Cricetulus griseus: one gene and its partner. The protein of the gene in region 1 purifies or fractionates together with the protein of each later gene. This does not show direct contact. Links are inferred from orthologs where the notes say so. Each region holds a gene or a part of one and is shown in the gene's direction. Other genes may lie near its edges.

The links.
Region 2: the proteins of Tp53rk (region 1) and Lage3 purify together in Homo sapiens (affinity purification with mass spectrometry; 5 studies listed by BioGRID and IntAct, with this or other methods). This does not show direct contact. The link is inferred for Cricetulus griseus from reciprocal best matches to the Homo sapiens genes TP53RK and LAGE3.

The regions. Positions count from the first base shown.
Region 1 is NC_048599.1:13,921,361-13,925,109, forward strand, and holds the start of Tp53rk (EKC/KEOPS complex subunit TP53RK), read left to right. Parts: upstream 1-1,115; 5' UTR 1,116-1,167; coding exon 1,168-1,447; intron 1,448-2,799; coding exon 2,800-3,278; 3' UTR 3,279-3,749.
Region 2 is NC_048604.1:1,362,726-1,365,941, forward strand, and holds Lage3 (EKC/KEOPS complex subunit LAGE3), read left to right. Parts: upstream 1-1,292; 5' UTR 1,293-1,326; coding exon 1,327-1,562; intron 1,563-1,869; coding exon 1,870-1,998; intron 1,999-2,325; coding exon 2,326-2,440; 3' UTR 2,441-2,654; downstream 2,655-3,216. UniProt on the Homo sapiens protein: Component of the EKC/KEOPS complex that is required for the formation of a threonylcarbamoyl group on adenosine at position 37 (t(6)A37) in tRNAs that read codons beginning with adenine.

The DNA.
Region 1 (3,749 bases):
CTCATGAGGGGCTGGAAGAACATGTTTCCCCAGAGGAAACAGCAGATGCAAAGGCTCTGTGTAGAGGGAGCATGATGGGGAGTGGGGAGGTGTCTGGTGAGGGAAGGGTCTACAAGAGATGCAGGAGTTCCCTGCAGGCCTCAGCACAGCAACGAGATATTGAACATTTGATCCGGGTTTAAAGAGCTAAGGTCAGTCTGACTTGGCAAGCCAGGCTCTGGTCAGAGTCTTTGCACTGTAGTTTCTAAGGCAAGGGTTCAGATGGTTTTGGTCACCATAGCAATGGCTGCGTGGACACAACCAATTATGATAATGAAGCCACATACGTGAGCACTGGGGAATATAAAGGGAACCAGTTCTCGGAGAGCTTTGCTGGAAAACATTATGCCCACGCAAGGGTCTGATGTGTGAAAACAGTCCTGTGGTATGAACGAAACCCAGGGACCACAGAGCCAGGATGCTGGTGCCATAGCAACCCTGGTCCAAAGTCCCTCTCTTCTGCATTTCAACAGGACCCCAAGGAGCGTGGGGGCAGGGCCTGGAGGTCAGACACCATGTGAAGAGCGCCCTTGTCCACAAGCATCACATAGCCACTGTCGTCTTTTATTCTGATAAGCTCTGGCCCCAGCAGAACCAGGCACCCTCATTCTGAAGATGAGAAAACCAAACACAGAGTGACGATGCTGGCTGCTGACACGCTAATGCCGGGCTTAAAGACCATGTTTCCTTAGACAGAAGTGGGAAGATCATGAATTCGAAGCTAACCTGAGCTACACAGCGAGACCCTGACTCTAAAAGGAAGAAAAGGAAGGGGAAAGGAAAGGAGCCTAGTAAAGAGGAGTGGTGTCCACAAAATAATTTTCCCAGAAGAGCCTCCAAGTTGGAGAAGGCTCCCAAAGCCTGCGCTTCGCCAACGCGCTTCCGGAGAAAGCCGAAGAGTGAGAAACTGTTGACCGAAAGTTGCCGAGCTCTCACGGAGATACACGAAGAGCTTCGGGAAGGGCCAGGCCGCGGGTCGGGTCTAGAGCCAGAGCTCAGAAAGGTCGCCAGGCGGAACCACTGCGGCAGGGCGGAAGTGGGAGGGGGCGGTGTCGTGCGGCGGAAGAGGCCCGAGGATTTCCGAAGAGAGCGGAAGCGGCGCTGCCAGGGTCCGGACGAGCCGAAGGCATGGCCGCGGCGTGCTCGGAGCGGGCGGCGGAGGCGGAGGCGGAGGCCGAGGCGGCGGCGCTGGCGGCAGCGCGTGAGCGGAGCCTCCTTTTCCTGAGCGGCCTGGAGCTGGTGCAGCAGGGCGCCGAGGCGCGCGTCTTCCGCGGCCGCTTCCTGGGCCGCGCGGCCGTGGTGAAGCACCGCTTCCCCAAGAGCTACCGGCACCCGGTGCTGGAGGCGCGGCTCGGCCGGCGGAGGACGGTGCAGGAGGCGCGAGCGCTGCTCCGCTGCCGCCGAGCGGGTGAGGCGGACGGGACGGGGGCGGGGCGGGGCGGACGGGGCGGGGCGGACGGGCGGGGCGGGGCTCTGAGACCCGGGGGGCGGAGCCGGGCGGCGATGCTTAAAGGACTCAGCACACAGCTCCGCAGCTGTCTGTTATTATCTCGTGGTTTCGCCTCAGTTTCCCCGTTCCTACCGTTTCCGCTCACCGTCCTCCACACTCCATTTGGTAGTTTGAAGCCGCAGGTGCCCTGACAGGCTCTCCGGATTCAGATTCTAAGCGCTGCTTCCCGCGTGGCCCTTCAGCGAGTCGTCGTCCCGCCCCCGCGCGCGCCTCAGTTTCCTAGTATGCGATGGGAATCTCAGGGATGTTGTGACCATTAGAGAAGGTCTGAGAGTCACATGTTTGCATGCTGACAAAGCATTCAATAAAGTCTGATTTCATTAAATGATTCATTTTTTCTTTAAAAACAACATTTTAACTAACAAAACTGCCCTCCAGAGAAACCGAGGCACAAAGGGAAAGTGACTCAGGTTCCACAGCCACCAGGAGGGCTGTCTGCATCTTAGAAGCACAGACCCTTTGCTTTTTACACTTGCTGGTTTTTAGGTGTCTACTCCACACCAGGACTCTGATGGGTGCTGGGCAGTCTGGGGAAACTCGACAGCCTGTATTTTCTTGCCCTAGCAGAGTTAATGGAGTTATAAAGTAGTGTACATATTTTCTGTTTCACCTTCTTTTATAAGTTTTATCAGACAGGGACGGTGGCTACACTGATCCCCACTGGCAGGTCTCTAGTTTCTAGGAAAGAGTCCTGAACATAGCTGACATTTGGGAGAGACTCCTGGAATTAATTGGAGCTATTGTTACCACCATGACGGTATCGGAAACTGAGATACAGAGAAGCTAATGGAACCTTGAGGTTTCACAACTAATAAGGACGGAGCTGGGATTCGAACCTGCCTGTTCTGGAGCAAAGATAGTCTAAGATGGCATGCTGCTTAGCCTCCTGCTAGTCAGGTCGAAGCTGCTCAGACTGGAGGATGCTTTCCCTTCTGGCTTCTTGGGGTTTTTGTTGTTGTTTTTGCATTTTGTTTTGTTTTTAGGGAGTAGCAGTGAATTCCTCTCCTGAGGTGACTTGAGAAAGGGGGAGCAAGCTTTGATACTTGTAGACGTATCCTCGGCTGGGCTCAGGGAATAGTCCTGCAGGGCTTGAGCAGGGGAACTTCGGGCTAGGTTATATCATTTCCATAGTATTCCTAAACCCTGTTCCAGTGTAAGTAGATTTAGACTGAAAACCTGGCTCCACCCGTGCAAATGAAGCCTGCCTTCATAAAGAAAATACTTGCTAACCGTGTGTGTGTCCATTGCAGGGATAGCTGCCCCGGTTGTCTTCTTCGTGGACTATGCTTCTAACTGCTTATATATGGAGGAAATCGAAGACTCAGTGACTGTAAGAGATTATATTCAGTCCACCATGGAGACTGAGAACGACCCCCAGTGCCTCTTGGGCTTGGCCAGGAGAATTGGGCAGACCCTGGCTAGGATGCATGATGAAGACCTCATTCACGGGGACCTCACCACCTCCAACATGCTCCTAAAACGGCCCCTGGAGCAGCTGCACATCATCCTCATCGACTTCGGGCTCAGCTTTGTTTCTGGACTGCCAGAAGATAAAGGCGTGGACCTCTACGTCCTGGAGAAGGCCTTCCTCAGCACCCACCCCCACACCGAGGCTGTGTTTGAAGCCTGCCTGAAGAGCTATGGTGCTTCATCCAGGAAGTCCAGTCCAGTGCTGAAGAAGTTAGATGAAGTGCGCCTGAGAGGGAGAAAGCGCTCCATGGTGGGGTAGCAGAGTTGCTGACTGTTTCCCAGTGAGGATGCTGTGGGCGGGGCCGGACCTCAGGCTGTGTTGTCCTTGTTAAGTGGCCTGGCACAGTGGTGCTGTGCCACTGTCACCTGGGTTCCACTGTTCTCGGAAGCTTAATGTACATAAGGCCTGTTGGGGCAGAACTGGGTGAGTAGGCCAGGCTGGCCTCAGCTTTGCTGTGTGAGGATGAATAACCGTGAGCTGATCTCCTGCATCCCCTGGAGTGTAGGCGTGTGCTCTCATACCTGGTTCATCAATGCTCAGGGGCTCACACATGCTAGGCAAGCACTCTGCCAACCGAGATGCACCCCACTCCCCTAGAACAGGGTGTTTCAGATCAGTCCAACAGGCTTTCCCCCAAACAGTGGCTTGTGGACGTCATGCATGGCAGGTGGCATTGAGCTGAGAACAATACTCTAGTCCTGAGGGATAAATGGGGACTCGGTTTGGGCT
Region 2 (3,216 bases), on another chromosome or scaffold:
TACAGGGATCTTATAAACTACTGCAAAGCTTTGGTTTTTATTCCAAGTGCCACTAGAAAACGTTTCAGGGATTGTTGGTTGGTTGATTGTGATAATGGGAATGAAACCAGAACCTTGAAATGCCACATAAATGGTGTACCAAATAAATTCTATCCAATCCACCATGACCTTTTTTATTTTAAGAGTTTTAAAAATGTTTATGTGTATGAGTGTTTGGTCTGTATGTGTGTCTGTGTTTTTTGAGGGTTTTTTGGTTATTTTTTGTTTTTTGTTTTTAGAGGCAGGGTTTCTCTGTGGCTTTGAAGGCAGTCCTGGAACTAGCTCTTGTAGATCAGGCTGGTCTCAAACTCACAGAAATCCGCCTGCCTCTGCCTCCCGAGTGCTGGGATTGAAGGAGTGCACCACCAACGCCCAGCCCAATATACAGGGTTTTAAGCATTGATTTAATCTATACTAGAAATTAGACAGAGTGAGAAGAGTGAGTTGGGCATGGGTAGGATCAAGGAACATTGTACACATGTATGAAATTGTCAAAGAATAAGTAAAAGATATCTTAAATTTGCCAGGAGGTGAAGTTCAAAGCCAGCTTGTTATACAGAGCTAGTTCAAGGACAGCCAGGGCTAATACACAGAGAAGCCATGTTTCGAAAAATCAAGAAAAAGAAAAAGAAAGAAATTAGAAACTTTTGTGGGGGATATGCTGTAGACAAGAAGAAGATCAATCTCAGAGCTTTTGAAGGTGTGATGCAGAGAGAGAGGCTAGACAGATAGTTTAGTGATTAAGAGAACTTGCTGCTTTTGCAAAAGACCTGGGTTAAGTTCCCAGAACTCACATAAAAGTTTACAACCACCCATAATTCCAGTTCCAGTACCCACATGGACAACAGGCACTACACACATGTAAAAACAGGCAAAACATTTATACACATAAAATAAAAATAAATAAATCTTAAACCAGATGGTGGTGGCACACACCTTTAATCCCAGCACACTTGGCAGGCTTGTATCTGTGAGTTTCAGGACAGCCTGGATATCTCTCTCTCTCTCTGCATCCCGAGTGCTGGGACTAAAGGCATCTGCCACCAATGCCCGGCTCCTTAGATCCCTTTTAAAAAGAAACTGAAGGGAAAGCTGGATGTGGTATGGCACTTTGGAGGCTGAGGGAGACTAGATCAATCTCTTAGAGATCCCAACAGAGGCCTCCAGATGGGGACCGACCCAATTTAGCAACTTTGTCGCCCGCCCATTCCCGCAGGTGCATGTGGGATTGGCAGCCTGAGCGAGGGCGGAGCTTCCGGAGGATAAGGCGGGCTCTGGGCCGTAGCGATGGCGGAGGGTGGCTTGGAGGGTGGAGCAGCGGTAGACATGCAAGCAGCACACAGTTTAGGCCACACTGCAGATGGCGCCGATTCCCCGACCAGCTGCTGCTGTCCCGGTGATGCAGGCGCAGTGGCAGTTATTCCCAGTGGAGCTCACCCTGCTGCACGAGCATCGGAAGTCTCCGGTTGGAGCAAAAGCACTGTTCCTTTAACCCAAAGGCCGGGAATCCGACATCATAGATTGTATCCTACCGGACAGGGACAACTGGGTCACTTTAGGGATGCTTCAGGAGGGAAAAGGGGTAGTCTGGAGACGGGGGTGGGGTGGAGGGGAGCAGGGGGACCGGCTGATTGAGGTCTGTTAACCACGGGAGGTCTGGGCATGAGAAGATAACAGGGGGAGGGGAACCGGAGGGTGGAGGGAATGAACAGGAATTGCCCAAGCAATGTGCAAGATGTAGTCTGGGGAGCTTAGACCAGATGAGATGGTTTTAGAGGGCCAAGTAGGCGAAAACGATTCAACATGGTGCCTTTCCTGAGTCTCTACCAGTGCCCTTACAGTGCCTTTCCCGACCTCTTTGGAGGCAGAAATCGCCTGTGGGTCCCTAGCTCCTGATGCCGAACCGCACCGAGGAATCTTGGGGAAAGACCTTAAAGTCAGCGGCTGCATGCTGGAGGTGTAAGTGCTGAAAGAGTCTGGCATGCTGGGTAGGTGGCTGGACTATTCTCTACCCAAGACTGCACTTCCTTAGAGACAGCACACTAGGGTGACTTCTAAGAAGACTCTTGGTGCAGTGGACCAGTCTTTACCTGCAGGATATGGTACAGTGGGAGCCTGAGGGAAGATCCAGAAAGGTAGGAGCCAGGAGGCAGAGGCAGACAGATTTCTGTGAATTCCAGGCCAGCCAGGGCTACATCGTGAGATTCTCTCTCTTTCCAAAATAAATAAGGAAAGAAGGATAAGAATTACTATTTTAAACTTAATATTCTTTTTCCTCACTCTTAGACACTGGATCTCAGAAGACTCTCGCCTCCTCCGAATTTCCATCATGAACTTTCTTGACCAGCTCGCCCTAGTGGTGAACACCATAAAGCGCTTTGGGCCCCCAGTTTCTCGTTAAGCCTGCCTGGGAAAAGGGGCTCAGATCTGACCTTATGTCGGTTCCCTCCAAAGCAGACAATTTTCTGGAAAACATTCCAGAAATAGTACCTGCTACTTAAATGTGGGGCCTAATATTTTTTTGCCTGACTTGGTCCTCAGGCACTTAGGGGCCACTTGTTTAGTTTGGTGCTCAAATGTTGCTGAAGAAAATAAAGCTGTGCTTCTAATCTGTATTTGAGTATTTTCAACCTCAAGATTTTCTTTGTGTTGGAGGAGAGGTATTTGTTGTATAAAATAAGAGTATTCACCTAATGTTGTGAGGTCCTTGATTCAATCCTCAGCAGTGAAAAACTACATTAGTAGAAAGTAGAAGAAGACAATTACAGAAATAGAGGAAAATTAAAAACACAAGCACCCTGTCATTTGGGGCTCACTTTGGGAAACTTTTGGTATTAGAATTTTATCAATATAATAAATGTGTAGCAATATCATGAGGCCCCTCTTCTGAGGAGATATTGGCAGTTTATGGCTGCTGGGGAAATGGAGTTGTTTTTCTTCAGTAGTGTAACCACTGTTAAGTTGCTCATAATTCTGTAAATAACCCCACATCCATGATCATGCAAGCAACCCTAATTAAATTCAGTGAGGCACTAATGAAAGACATGAAAATGGAGATGTAATTGTTAAGAAGAAGGGGTTGAATAGAGGATAAGAAAGGACAATAGGGGATGGATATATTCAAAATATATACATTGTAAACATGTATGAAATTGTCAAAGAATACTTTTTTGTGTC